3 linked regions of the Neodiprion lecontei genome follow. The protein of the gene in region 2 interacts with the protein of the main gene of each other region in a biochemical or structural test. Links are inferred from orthologs where the notes say so. Each region holds a gene or a part of one and is shown on either strand. Other genes may lie near its edges.

The links.
Region 1: of the proteins of serine/threonine-protein kinase grp (region 2) and serine/threonine-protein kinase ATR-like, one has a biochemical effect on the other in vitro, tested with the Homo sapiens proteins (7 studies listed by BioGRID, with this or other methods). The link is inferred for Neodiprion lecontei from reciprocal best matches to the Homo sapiens genes CHEK1 and ATR.
Region 3: of the proteins of serine/threonine-protein kinase grp (region 2) and casein kinase II subunit beta, one has a biochemical effect on the other in vitro, tested with the Homo sapiens proteins (2 studies listed by BioGRID, with this or other methods). The link is inferred for Neodiprion lecontei from reciprocal best matches to the Homo sapiens genes CHEK1 and CSNK2B.

What each region holds. Positions count from the first base shown.
Region 1 is NC_060264.1:32,007,972-32,013,244, forward strand, and holds the start of serine/threonine-protein kinase ATR-like, read left to right. Parts: upstream 1-1,959; 5' UTR 1,960-2,213; coding exon 2,214-2,257; intron 2,258-2,518; coding exon 2,519-2,724; intron 2,725-2,814; coding exon 2,815-2,985; intron 2,986-3,100; coding exon 3,101-3,258; intron 3,259-3,494; coding exon 3,495-3,644; intron 3,645-3,738; coding exon 3,739-3,940; intron 3,941-4,022; coding exon 4,023-4,144; intron 4,145-4,253; coding exon 4,254-4,822; intron 4,823-4,976; coding exon 4,977-5,141; intron 5,142-5,229; coding exon 5,230-5,273. Other genes in the region: neuronal PAS domain-containing protein 4A, read left to right, coding at 489-1,277. UniProt on the Homo sapiens protein: Serine/threonine protein kinase which activates checkpoint signaling upon genotoxic stresses such as ionizing radiation (IR), ultraviolet light (UV), or DNA replication stalling, thereby acting as a DNA damage sensor.
Region 2 is NC_060261.1:17,306,905-17,311,871, reverse strand, and holds the start of serine/threonine-protein kinase grp, read left to right. Parts: upstream 1-1,594; 5' UTR 1,595-1,820; intron 1,821-2,019; 5' UTR 2,020-2,084; coding exon 2,085-2,146; intron 2,147-4,967. UniProt on the Homo sapiens protein: Serine/threonine-protein kinase which is required for checkpoint-mediated cell cycle arrest and activation of DNA repair in response to the presence of DNA damage or unreplicated DNA.
Region 3 is NC_060262.1:34,620,831-34,625,394, reverse strand, and holds casein kinase II subunit beta, read left to right. Parts: upstream 1-1,945; 5' UTR 1,946-2,073; coding exon 2,074-2,087; intron 2,088-2,215; coding exon 2,216-2,291; intron 2,292-2,566; coding exon 2,567-2,669; intron 2,670-2,963; coding exon 2,964-3,345; intron 3,346-3,539; coding exon 3,540-3,648; 3' UTR 3,649-3,750; downstream 3,751-4,564. UniProt on the Homo sapiens protein: Regulatory subunit of casein kinase II/CK2.

The DNA.
Region 1 (5,273 bases), on a different chromosome or scaffold from region 2:
TGAAAATGGATCAGAGAATTTTTATTAAATTTTCCTATAAGATTGGAATAAAGTGCAGCCTAATTTTAGAATTGTTACATATTGCTTTTGGTGATTGTGATGCTGGGGCGTCCAGGGCGATCGTCATCTTCAACGTTTTCATTGCTATCTTGGGAACCCTTGTTTTACTCATAGCAAACTCAGCAACAGTAATGTTTAACATTTCGATCAATTTGCTGCACTTTATTCCATTCTTACAGCAAAATTTAATACAAATTCTCTGATTCATTTTCAAAATACCCGATCCTAACTAAGCACGTGTAACGCTTTTGACGACTGACAATAGACTATATAAATATATATCCAATTCGGCTAATACTGTGCAGCAACTTTTCAGTCAAGTTTATCAACACACAACGAAAAAAACACGCGAATCGGACTAATACACACTCAATATTACAAAATTCCCGTTATCTTTCGAACATGCCACGTATTCTTGAACGTTGCAGCATTCTTCAACGCACATTAGTCGGGAGACTTCGGAACCGGTGGACATGTCGATAAACGGAGCCGTGATCTCACACCACACAGGGGACATCGAGCAGCGAACCCTCCACATACTTTCCCAAGCCCTGACATTCAACATCCGTAATAACAAGCAGCGGAAAGGGAGCAGCACCCTGCTCCAGCAGCAGATGCATCACGGCAACTCTGTTCCCGGGGTTAGTTCAACGATTTTGCGAGAGTGTTCATCCCCGAGATGTTCTCCGAAGTACGTGAGTCTAACGGACCTGGACAAGAGTTACGGTGATAGTACCGAAGTGACTTCAATCGTAGCTTCGGCTTGCTGCACAGCAACAGCGATAGACAGCTGCAGCTATAACTCGCAGAGGCGGCTGGTGATTAAAACTGCGACGATCGTCGAGCCGGCCGAGGTCTGTACCGAGCCTTGGGGCTCGGCTTGTACTTCCGTTGGCAACGCTTGGGTCGACACTCTCCAAAAGGTTCCTGATATCGTCCAGCTCCAGGAGCTCAGTCCCTGCGTCACAACGCCTACCACACCTTGCACCGACGTCTCTGCTGACTCGGACCTCAGGTCCGGGACGCCGATTTTCAATTTTGACTGGTCAGCCGAGCACCACGTGCCCAGCCTCAAGGTCAACTTCCGTAACATCACCAGCCACGAGAGCAAGCGGACTCTTGTGCAACCTTGCGAGGTTTCGCAGCCTGCTATCACCCTACAGTTACCTGCTACGAGGCGAAAACATACAGGGGCGGGTTCTGACGTTACAAAATGATTTACTAAATGAGGACGAATGTCCTTCTGAAAGACCGTGGTTACACTGATCGGTGCTGTTTGTCTCTTTTTCGGATTGAACTATGTGCCCGTGGATTATCGATTTCGATTTTGGGAGTCATGATAGCTATAAAAAATACTTAAACTCACGAATATACCAATTTCTGTTTCACAAAATTTGACTAGCAAAATTATTACTGCAGAGTTAACGGAACGAGAACGATGATTAATTGTTTTTTGTGCGTACGTGACTATCATATTGTTACAATTATTCTCCGTGTAAATGTATTATCATTTCTATTATATGTGTATAGTTATATAGTACGCGAGTGTGATGATGTATGTTACTATTTTCATTTCGGAGTTGTTTGTATAATAATTATTATTATGTGAATAAAATGGTGCTAAAATTCTAAATCGTGTGGTCTAAAATCACTGAATTAGTATTATTATTATATTTCACCGGTCTAAATACGTGATGCCATAAGCAAACACTTACCTAGGTATACAAATTTTAGGGACCCTACCAGAGCTGACTGATTCTACGTAGTCTTACCAACAGTCGGTACACTTACCGTCCGCGGTGAATCTGCATTACCGACCAGTATTACCGCCGTGTTTCCCATGCGGTCCGACGCCCTCGCGACTCAGCCAGTTTGAATTGTACAGCATGGCCTGTCAGTCGCGAATTCGCTCTGCAACCGCTTGTGGAGTTTGATGAATAGGGGTGTAAATTCTGTGATAGCAAGAATTTTAGCAATTTTTGGCTTTAGTTATGAAGGCGGCAATATGTGCTCTTTTCAGTTGAATAAAATACCGCATGTGTCAAGCAAATTCTTCGTTGATGCGAGTCCAAACAATATTCCAACCTCCTATCTCGTATCGTCAATACGAAGTCTTTCGTAGTTCGCAAGGAAAACAAACCTAAATAAAAATCATGAGCAGCGATTCTACTACCGAATTATCAAATTCGAGTAACAGGTAAGTCTTGATGTTCTAACCTCTTATTAATTAACCCAATACTTGTATTGAATTATTTGGACACCGGCAAATTCGTACATCACAGACGTGATTTTGTTTGTAATTGTGTATTTTTTAATTTTATTATTCTAACCCCTTCAATTCTTATATATAACATTATTTGAACACTGGTAAATTCGAACATGAGCAGATGTAAATTCATCCTCTTGTACTCTTATCATCGAAACAATATATTTGTTATTATGGTTCATCTATCAACAGTAGCGTAGCGACTGCAGAAACAGTATGGAGAGTGATAAACAACCCTTTGGTCGCTATATTGTCGGACCTACAAAACGACACGGCGGAACGAACAATTCGTGTCATTTTGGGTTCCATTCTTAAGGGGTCTGCCAACCTGACAAATGTTTTGGTTCCCCCGCAGGCGGTAGGAGAGAATTACAAAAATCTCGAGAGACAGTATACAGGTAAATATAGGAGCTTATCGACGCCAACAAATAAAAATTGATAAAAGTGTTGGTGTGATGCGAAGAATCATTTCTCCTATTTTATTACAGAATTTACAATTTGGCTTTTTGGAACGATGTTCTACATATCGGGTGCACCGTTTGGTACAGAAGTACACTCTAGCAGTTTGGAAGTACAAGCTTGTATGCTGCGCATATTGGCTACACATTACCCACCGAATTTTAATCGAATATCTTCAGAGCTGCTGGATGTTTTGGAAGGTGTGTCTAAAAGAGTTTTGAATCTGTTTTTTAACCGTTGGCTAATAGCATGGTTTGAATAGCAAGGAAGAAATGAACTATGTGATATAATAACCTCAGGTCCTTACGTTTACAGATATTGTAAAATTTGAAGCAAACTGTAAGCCTGGAGATCAGATGGAAATAGCCAGATTCCAGGCTGAGTCTGGTGTTATAGGTTACTTAGATCTCGTTTCCTTGCCGCTCAGGGTACCTGAAAAAAGGCTTTATTCTCTACAGATTTTTATATCAAAGGTAACGTTAAGGGGTTGATGGTTCAACTTGACAACCATAGCAAGTCATAATAGTAGAACGAATAACAAGTCTGTGCATAAGAGTTGTTCAATGAACTAATTGAAACAATAGTAGAATTAATTCATCGATATCTATATAGAAAAAAAATTTCATGTCGCATCTTAATTATGATATGTATTTTTTTGACTTTCAATCACATTGCTGGTCCCATTTTAACCATCGTTTGATCTTTGCAGATCATTTTAAACATTGGTGTTACACAATGGAACCAGTCAAGGTTATGGGATGTGTGTCTCAAAATGATCGTTGATTCTTCACCAGATGTAAAATTCCTTGCACTAAAAATTGCGACGCAGATGATGCAAAGATCGCTAATTGGGCCAAAGGTGTCGATAAAAACACAATGATTTTTCAATATCGTGTCCATATTCGTAGCATATTTTCCTCTACAATCATATTTTTCTTTTTTTCATCATTAAGGAAAAATACGCAATCATAGTTCGGACTATAGAGATGGTCAAGCTTGTTCCTAGCTGGAAAAGTCTTGGTATACTATCGGCAGGCACGGATGCAGAATGGGTGGAAATTTTGACGAATTTTGTCAGCGAGATGGGAACTTCTCCAACTGCTACCAGCCTTTGTTATGATGTCATTGATTTGACAATCTGCAATAATTTTGATGGTAAGTTTAAAAGCAATTTGTAATTAAATAAGATCGAATATACTAACTGAAGAACAGTCATGAATTAAACGTTCAATTACAGTAAGTTCTGAGCCCTTGAGAGATGCAGCGTGCGCCAAAATCACGCGTTATTTAATGGACAATCCAACCTCATGTACTCCTGACGAAATAACCAGGTGTTCTATTTATCTTAAGAATTGGACGGTAAGCATTTTTTTTCTAAATAATACCGCTTATTATTAATGTCTCGAAATTGCAGAAGGCATCGTAAACAGGCACACTGAATAATTGATATTATTTTTGTTTTTTAAAGGGTTTTCTCGAGATAATGCAACACCTAGTGTTAAATGACATTGAATGTTCGATGTCAAAGCTTAAACAGAATTCATTACTAACTAGCGAGACGTGGAGTATCTTGGGAAAGATTTTTGCTGATAAGTTACAACGTAAAGAATTCCACTTCACTTTAGAGATCCTGAAATGTTCGAGCTGGCTAGACTTCCAGATTGCGCAGGCCAATATTGATGTTTCATTTTATGGAAAAGAGTCTGAAAGCATAGCTCTAGTTTTCATAAACGAACTGCGTGCTAAATCCAATGTAAACCCAACTTTAATTTTCGAGAATATAAATCAGCTCTGCAGGCACAGAGAAGTAAAAAATGTAGAGTTACACGAAGTTCTCTTAGAATCCCTGCCACATATTGGACAGTCATTTGTGAACATTCGACAGCAAATTGTCACCGCTGCGAAATCCTTGGATGTTACGATGAAAATTAAATCCTTGGATACTCTTTGCCAATTCGGAAATTTCGAAAAACGTCTTTCGCTCATCAAAAGCTGCGTCATTTCCGACTACGTTGAGCTGGCCGTCGCTGGTATTCGGTAAGTAGCTCAGTACTATAAAAAATGATTTGCAGAACGATTCTGCTCAAATAATTCAAGGAAAGATCATGGCCAGAATAGAATCCCTTCTCAAATTTACTTATACATGTATTTTTTCATTCTGCAGTACTAAAAACACGAGAATTACTTTCAGAAATCTGAAGTTTGCCATTGGGGAAGGTAAATCTTACTCTGTCACCTCTGTAGTGGAAATAATGAATCTAGCCACAGCTTCAGCTAAAGAAGAATTGCGTTTAGCCATAGTCGAATGTATGGGAGGAATAGTTTGTTTGCTTTCCGGGCGAGCAGTCATGGCTAGGTATTTCCTATGTTCATATTTTACAAATATGTTCAACGTTCAAAAAGTTCTGTTGCATTCGATTACTTGATAAAATATTTAATTTCAGAGAGGTTGATCGCTCGACTGAATGGGTGATAAAATGTGCCGATT
Region 2 (4,967 bases):
ATTTGTTTACTTGATATAGGAAAAAAAGGTGTGCTACATAACCTTCAAAATTCAGTGTTGCGTAGTGGGTAGTATCAATCTATGGTGGTATTCTTGTTAGATTCTACGGTCATGGGTTATGTTATGTTAATTGAGATTGAGTTTGTATCGCGCTTGGCCGACTATGATGCTGTAGGTTTCTGTGTTGCCAACATAATTGTCTAGTGTAAAAAATTAGCCGTCTCAGGTGCATTGTCCTCAAGTGTACTCTGGGCACATTTTTGTAACCAGCACTCTGCGGGTAAGTGAGCCTGGGGCCATGATAAGCCATGTTGGCGATTCGGTAGCGTCTTTATCGATAGAAGTAGTTTATTTATAGTAATACCCAGGTAGCATTCTGTTGCAAGTTCGTGATTTGACCGTCACATGTGCGCATGCATGACCCTGCCGGCAGGCAACTATCTGTCTGTTTCCGCATTGTAAAAAGACCACGTATGCTTCCTTCTGGTAGGTGCCTGCCGCAGAAAATGCATGATTCATACATGCTTCGCCAGGATCGGCTTTGTGGAAGGTATGAAATAATATGTGGAAAAAATATCCAAATTACACAGATGATATGAAGGAATTCGACAATATAAGACTATGGATAGTACGGTAAAAAATTTCCGTAAATCACAAATCGAAATAAATACACATGTTCTTATAAAGTGCGTGGAAAGAATAATACAGTCAGAAAAATATAACCTGAAGCTTTACCAATGGAAAAATAAGGATATAAGTACCTAGATGGATATAAAAAAGTAGTCGGATCTCTATAAGAAACGCATCTGATTTCATAAAATATAACTACAAAACTGTACTTACCGTATCAAATAATATGAAGTGATGTATATAATAATTGGTTTATATGCCTCAGTAAGTAAAAACACGCATCAGTCGCGTGTTTCCCGCTGTTTGCTGCTAAATTTGTTACACAAGTATAATTCAATCGGAAACCGGGGTTTTGCGTATTTATTCGCATAAAACATTAACGACACTAGCACGTGCAAGTTTCGGTTCGCGCTGCAGCTCGACATCGTGCGTAGAATTACAGTAATCGTGTCGTCAATATATTGTAGCGAGTGACATTCGACTGACCCGCATGGTTTATTTGTAAGATCACCTGTTCTGCAGAAACATGCATCAACCTTGCACAATTCTGCCGCAAAGTGCTGCCGAACACGGTCTTGCATGATCGGATGCTGCATGAAATGCTACCTGGGTATAGAGTGCGTTCCGAAACTAGCCGGCTGCGTTAAGAAATCCCTAGGACAGAGTCAGAGCTACTCACGAACTCGGCAGCGCAAAAGAGATAAAAGGTGCGTAACAGCACTGGGAGCTAATTTCGGAAGTCTTCGATCAGTAACCGATCTTTCCTACACTGAGGTTCCTAGTTATTAGAGTAACTAGAGCAACTACCAGCCATCTTGGTCACTATATTTTTCGCACCAACAAGAAATATTTCTTGAAGTTGACACTCTATAATAGGACGTAGCTTAATGGCTTCGATATTCGCAAGTTCGCTTAGCTGCCGATCGCGGCTCTGTTTTAAATCGATTGACAGAAGCAGGGAGACATCGGTCCAGCAGCCATATTAAACTTTCTACGATCAGTTTCTGTTCTATGCTTCCCTTCCTCGTAAAAGGAGCAATGGATTCGCCGTTTTGCAATCGATTTCCTTGCTATTGGTGTTAAAATATGATACGTTCACAAACTCATAGCGCTGTTTAACTGCCGCTAACACCATAATCACCTGTAACAACGGGAATGTAAAATTCGGCTCGAAGATCGACTCACTAACGGTTTACCCTGTTTATTTTATCACCCTTACCACGTGTTTCCCTAGTTTCTGTCACAATTTAGAAGCTTGAAGTGAACTTTTCGTAATAGTTGGTCCCTTTTTATCGGCATCAGCGGCACCTCTTAGCGATTATTATCCATCAAAGAGTGCCCTCGTCGTTCGTTCGACAACAGCGATCACAAAGAAATTTCATTCGGCAGGATCGGAAATGAGAACGATATTGATTCTTTGTCTGTAACGAAGAAAGAGGAATGCGAGAAACACGATGTCGGACTTCGTGGAAGGTTGGACTTTAGGGCACACTCTGGGGGAGGGGGCCTACGGCGAGTGAGTATTCATAATTATTTTTCCTCGTTAATCACTGCTTACGCTTTTATTTTCACTCTCTGTTACATCCCGCCTCTTTCATCTGTTAGAAATCATATTGAGTTTAGCGTTTGAAACAGATCTCACATATTTAAAGGATGAATCGGGCATCATTGTAATTAAAACCGAGACGGGAGACAAAACCATTCTAAACATCTCCAGTATTATTTGGCCCATGATGATAAACACGGATAAAACATCATCCTTACAACCTGATAGAAATGATTTGAGTACATTCAAGTAGCACAAGCCAAGATATACCAACGATTCGAGGAAAAGTTTTATAATTATCACATTTGAAGTGATCAATCTCTGATATTTTTCTGAAACTTAGATCAATTGAACTCGAACGAAATCGATTGAAGTCATCTGAAATTGACTTAAATGATTGAATTTGATAAGAAAATCTCTTAAAAATTACCATGAAACCACTTTAAAATTTGCTAAAATCATATGAAATCATATAAAAAAAAATGACTTCGATATTGCATCAAGATCCTTCAAAACTATATGAATATTTCTTAAAATTGCTTTCAAATGATTCGATTCACACCCAGATCTTCGTCATCACAATACGCACGAGGCCTGCACTCGCAATAATGACTTACTGGAATGTATGGAATCTTTTTAAGAGTTTTATACAGTGTGGTGTTTTAATCATTCCATGTGAATATCTGAGAAATGCAAACAGATGTTTTATTTAAAAGTTTGAGTGCTACAAGAGGGAAAAATGATGTTGATATGAATCGAGTTTTGGATTGTGTTTTTTTGTTGAGATTTTGTAAGTAACATCTAATTTTAAATAGAGAGTTTGTATTTTGGATATGAGCAACTAATATCGAGATCAAAGACAAGTTTAAGGTCACAGATGTTTTTTCTCTCTTTCTTTACTTCAGCCTCACATATTCATTGTCTCCCACCATTGCTGATAAGTTTCTTTACGGACACAAAATTGGTATGTTCGTAACGATGCAACTCATAATTCTTTATAATTATGAAATGGATCGTAAATTATGATTGCAAACTTTTTAAGGTAAGCAATAATTAAAATAGAATACATTGGAAAAGAAATTTCCATGAAAAAAAAATCATATTTTTTTGAATAAAGTATTTTTTTCGTATCTCTATTTGTATCGTAGCTACGATACTAAAGAGTAAAATTATTTTCATAACTTACAAATATTTGAATATACGTATGTTTCCAATATCTGAACAAACAATTTGGGTAGCAACTTTGTTTTGAATCAAAATTAAAATACCAGTTGATATACAAAAATCACCAATTCTTGGAGAAACCATTGAATCTCGATTTTGAGTACGAATAGAAAATTTAATTACCAGTGTTTGAAATTAATCCTCGAATTAATCCGTCTGTGGAAATTCATTTTATTTACATGTAACACCTACGTTAACCTAAATCTAAAAGCATTAGATATGAAAATAACGAATGAAAAATTGTATTTTTGCAAATGCAGGGTGGAGGGAAAATGTAAAAAGATTAGAGAAAAGAGGGTCACAATATTAAATATTCATAAAACCAAAAGTCCATTTTATAGAAATTTAAAATTTAGAATATCAAAGTATAGAAAAGTCAAAATGTAGACAGGTAATGTACATAAAAAACCAAAATATGGAATCGTTAGAATTCTGATACATTCATTCCCAGCCGTCATAAAATTGATTCAAAATGAAATATAATGGACATGTAAAAAAGTTATTTAAAAAATCGATGATGTGAAATTGTACGAAATCTCATCAAATCCCGTATTCACAACGAAATTATTTTGAAATCAACATGGAACCCCGTAAATTATGAAGTTGAAGTTCGTAAATTTATTGTAACGATGCGTGTTTATGAAAAATCGTTACTTGACACCTTCAGGATTGCCTGAAATTTAGTAAAGCACAATAAACAAAATGCATTAATATTTTAAAAAACCAGCACATTGAAAGTCATTCTAAAATTGAACAACAATGAAATCTTCTGATGTTTCGTTACAGTAACATTACAAACTTCAGCTTCTTTATGAATTCATCTGAAATCAATTCAAAATGGAAGATTTCTGAATTGTTTTTTACACAATTCGCGGAAATCGTGTTTGCAAGCAAAATAAGCACAAAACATTAGAATTGAATGAAAAAACACGGGAGTTTACTCATTTGAACATTCCAATTATAAGAATCCTTTTTCATATTGTTGATATCTTGACTTGTGTAAATCAAAATCCATTAGATTCATTTTTATTACATAGTACAGAGTTTGTTTAATTCGTATGTACCATAATTTGGTAAATTGCAATGCTGGAAATATTTTTAAATGGGTCGTCCTCTCTTAACTTTTGATTTGTAATCTACATCAGTTATTTGCGCCGCCAGAATCGATTTATAAGGTATTATAGTCATCATTCACACTTTCCACATATTCTCAATTTTCTGTTACACGTCATGTGACCATTATAAATTTTTCGGTGAATCGTATCTCTCACCAGTTTCCTCTGAGTCGTTGGGAATTCCAGAGTGCAGAGTTCAAATGGACTCAAATAAACGTTTCATGATATTCTTTCTTGCTTTCATTTTACTCAAGATATAAAATATTTTTCAAGTTTTGTATGCCACTCGATTGTATTGTTCTAAAAATGAAGTCAACTTGAGGTTCTGTCCTTTAGGTAAAAATTATTTGTTTAGAATCGATTTGATTAGATTTATAATTTGATTAGAATAGATTCTTCCAAATTGTTGATTTCCTTCTGAATATCTAAAAAATTATTCTTTATATGCCTGG
Region 3 (4,564 bases), on a different chromosome or scaffold from region 2:
TATGTGATTTCCAGCGGTTAAATGATAATTGTGAATATATCGCGGTATGGTGAAAGATGTAACAAATCGGTTGATTCTTCTACCGTTCGTTTTGGCATTCGTGTAGCTACCTGTACTTTGGATTACTCATATGATACAATTTTCATCAAATTCGTGGGGCAAGTGTTTGTGAAAAAGAACTCCGCACTATAAAATTTTTCATCAAGGCTTCGAGGGCTTAATTTCGAACGTAATAAGGAATATAATACGAGTTTTTTTGAAAAATAAAAATACATAAATAAATGACGTTTAATTGTTTGGATTAAGATCTCAAACATATCAGGTGTGCGACGAACATGAAAAACAGTAGAATCTACCAACCAGCCAATTCAACGATTTTCAGATCAAAATAATAAATCGTAATTGAAGGATTAATTTTGCGCGCGACACATAACCAGGTACCATGATCAAATATCGATGAAATCAGAATGGCTGTAATCTTGAAACATAACTACTGAATGTAAAAAAAATAAAAGAAATTGTGATATAGCTTATGAAAAAAAACTTGTACTCTGAGAAAAATCTGAATCGCGCGAGTTTCTATTTTGTAAGCACACTATATTACTATGGATTCACATTGAGTATTTTAAACGTTGAAAAAATAGATATGAGTATATATATATGTACATAAATATATATCATTGAATAATAATGAATCAACTCAAGTTTAAAAAATTGATCCTCGAGAAATTGACAGTTTGATACGATTCTGTTATTGACAAAATTGATATGTCTTGTTTATTGTGACAAATGTTTTTCCTTTTTTTGGATAACAATGAAGTCCATTCTAAAGACGCACTATCGTTCATCGTATTGTTAATGCTTTATTTTATATCCATGGACGTTTGAAAATGTAAATAAAGTTAGTTTTCAAAGACATTAGTGGATTTCATGGGCAAACATTCAATTCCAAACAATATATTGAATAATATACGAGTTAAAATCATGATAATAGTCTAACTATCGATGGTTTGAAATTGGCATACTCCCGAAAGTTGATAAATCAATAGACCAGACGGTACTGCAGAATGCATACTGACCATCTGTTTGCATAAATGACGGTAACGACTCGCGATGCAATTTTTTTCAATTTGCCAACTGACGAATGACTGGCTTCTGTTGCAGTTATAACCAATGTAGATAATACAATTGAAAGATAGAAAAAGATAACTCAGTGTCAGCTGCTTACAAGTGAAAGAATGACAAATTTGCGGTGTATTCTTTTAACTTCGTCAAGTAATAAAGAGCGAAAGGTTATATTGTTCGGCTACATCGTTTGTATTCCATGACGTCATAGACAAACTGAGACTGTTGCCACAACGGATTTCGCTCGTCCGCTCACCTCTGTGTCCTCTGACATCAGAATTTCAACAATATGTACCATCCCCCCATTCCACTGATCTCAATTATAATCACATTACAATAGAGATTATTGCCATGATTATTGCCCTACTCCTGCCATATTGTCCAACGATGAGCCAACCAATCATAATACAGGGTTGAACAATGAATCCGATAGTTTTTGTAAATCGACTATAGTTTCCAGCACTATCCGCGAGCGTAGTTTCCAATCATCACTCGACGCAGCACTGACTATAGATAAACGAGAGGCCTGTTATATCGACGCCCTGCGCCTGCCGTGTCGCCGATAACAAAATAATTTCATGTTCATTGTGGAGAACAGTTCGTGAATAGTGGATCGAATTGTATGTTGTGTGAGAAACTAGCGGGTGTATTTATTATCAATATCAGTATGGACTTGAATTGAAGTTAACATGGTATCAGGATTCTGAGAATAGTGTGCACCCAATAAATTCTCCGCATACAGCTGGTAGCAGACGCTAGCAGCGACACCTACCCTCTCTGGGCGAGCAAGCGTGGCTAATCAAGGCACCAAAAGGTAAGCCGTAAGGGCTGTTTATTTTTGGGTTTTCGGTTTACCGCGTGGCTCTTAGGCCAGTTTTCCTAGAGTCATGCGATTTTCCCTTATATTTAGTTATACAACGTACTCAATAATCATTTGACCGATCAGCAATGACCACGGAAACGTAGGTGAAGCGGTTGAGCAAAATGTCGGGCATCTTGCGTGCCGAACGAAGTGTCTTGTTATTCCGTTGGCTAATCTACGCGATTATGGTTTGTTAAAGTTTTTCACTAATATATCTCTAATTAATAGAAAAATGAGCAGTTCCGAGGAGGTATCATGGATCTCGTGGTTCTGCGGGCTCAGAGGAAATGAATTTTTTTGTGAGGTAAGAATTTTTCTAATCTCATTCTCATACAATCGTTATGATAGGTACTACCGATTATCAGTCAAAAATTTGGTGAAATCACTTTCTATGAATCATTCCTTAAATATTATGGCGTCTATTGTTGACCTCCAAATTTGCACTACCGCTGATATTACTATATATCCGTATGCTAATCGAGTGTAAAACCAAGTGTTTCAAAATTTAACTGAGATTATCATTATTATAAGTGTGGAGCTCAATTTTTAACCGAAATTATGTTTACAATTTCTACGCAGGTTGATGAAGACTATATACAAGATAAATTCAATCTAACTGGTCTCAATGAACAGGTTCCACACTATCGTCAGGCATTGGACATGATCCTTGACCTCGAACCTGGTACATATTGTCTTTTGTTTTTAAACTCTCTGTCGTACTTGTTATATATTCTCTGTGATCTACACCACTATCAGAACACTTAAGAATAATTCAAATCTTAAAACTTGAAAATCATAAGTACTGATAGCTCTATCGTCAAAGTGTAGAATTATAGGTATAGTTGAGTCGATATTTTTTAAGAAACTTCTTTTGCATCTTTGAATCTGGTGTGTTTAAATTGGAGAATATTACTGAGATGTGTACATTTTTGACTCATAGCTGCACATATAAACTTGAAAAATTTCCTAATTTTAGATGATGAACTGGATGACAATCCGAACCAATCGGATTTGATAGAACAGGCTGCTGAAATGCTGTATGGTCTTATTCACGCACGTTATATTTTAACGAACCGAGGTATTGCACAAATGATTGAAAAGTATCAGTCTGGTGACTTTGGCCACTGTCCACGTGTTTACTGCGAATCGCAGCCTATGTTGCCACTAGGACTCAGCGATGTACCAGGCGAAGCAATGGTCAAAAGTTACTGTCCCAAATGTATGGACGTCTACACTCCTAAAAGTTCACGACATCATCATACTGACGGTGCATATTTTGGAACTGGATTCCCACACATGCTGTTTATGGTGCATCCCGAATATCGACCTAAACGTGCTGCTAACCAGTTCGTGCCCAGGTAAAACCCTCACAACGAGAACTAGAAATAGTTGCATAACTGCAGAACTAAAAGATTTCTACCAGTCAACCAAACCAAGATAGTGATTTATTTATTTGGCTCTATTTAGGCATACTATTATGTGATATATACATTCTTATCTCGAGACCAGGACTCGAGAATTACTCTAAATACTTTATTTTACAAAATTTCAGGTTATATGGATTTAAAATTCACCCCCTGGCTTATCAGATTCAACAACAATCTGCTGCAACCTTCAAAGCTCCATTAAGAACTCTCAACTATAACAACGGAAAGCGTTAAAACTTTATTTAAATTTGAATTAGAAAATTTTCATTCGTATTTCGTAATACAAACCATAATTTTGTTGATAAGTTTTAAATAAACTGTCACTTGTTTTATAAACCTTCTTCAACCGGTTTCCGAGACCGAAGCAAGCGAACAAATCTATAGATGCAGCGTGCAAATATTAATGTTCGTAGGTAATTATAACCTTTCTCCATTTTACTTATACGTATACCTTTTTGTTTACTTGCCAAATCTAATGAACATTTCATTTTTTTAGTATGTAGCATAGTATCGAGATAATTTAATGTTAACTTCATGAATTCCGTGCAGTATTTTTTAACGCGCACTTGATTGTGCAGTTCGAAAACCTGTTAATTATTGATTGTTCTACTCTGAAAACAAAATATACCAATATTACGTATTTATCTATACTTCTAAGAATGTCATTGCTATAGAGCAATTTCTAACGCAATCGACAAACATCAATGAAAAGTAAACTAAAATTAGAAGTTAGCCTAATAGTAAAGTAAATTTGTTATTAACGATGAGATCAAAACCGTGTCATCATTTTCCAAATTATTAGTAGGATAAAATCGAAAAAAAAAAATGGTGTATAAACTATATTTGCTAAGCATAGTTTAATTTATACAATAATTAAATGCCTACTATAATAACGAAGGTGATCATTATTTTTAAAGTTTAGTACTAGTGAATCCGGTATTGATTTTCAATCAGTTGGCTACTTAGATATTTAGACGTAACGAAAATGTTGAAACGGACCATATCTCTGAGTGTAATAAAACTTTCTTTCGCTAGATATCTATGCGATAAAAAAAAACGTATCCCAAATTGTTTTAGCAAAAAAGTTTATCTGGCTTTTTCAGTCTTTCAAATCTCTGGTGTAAATTTTTAGCCTTATTGGCCTTCTCAT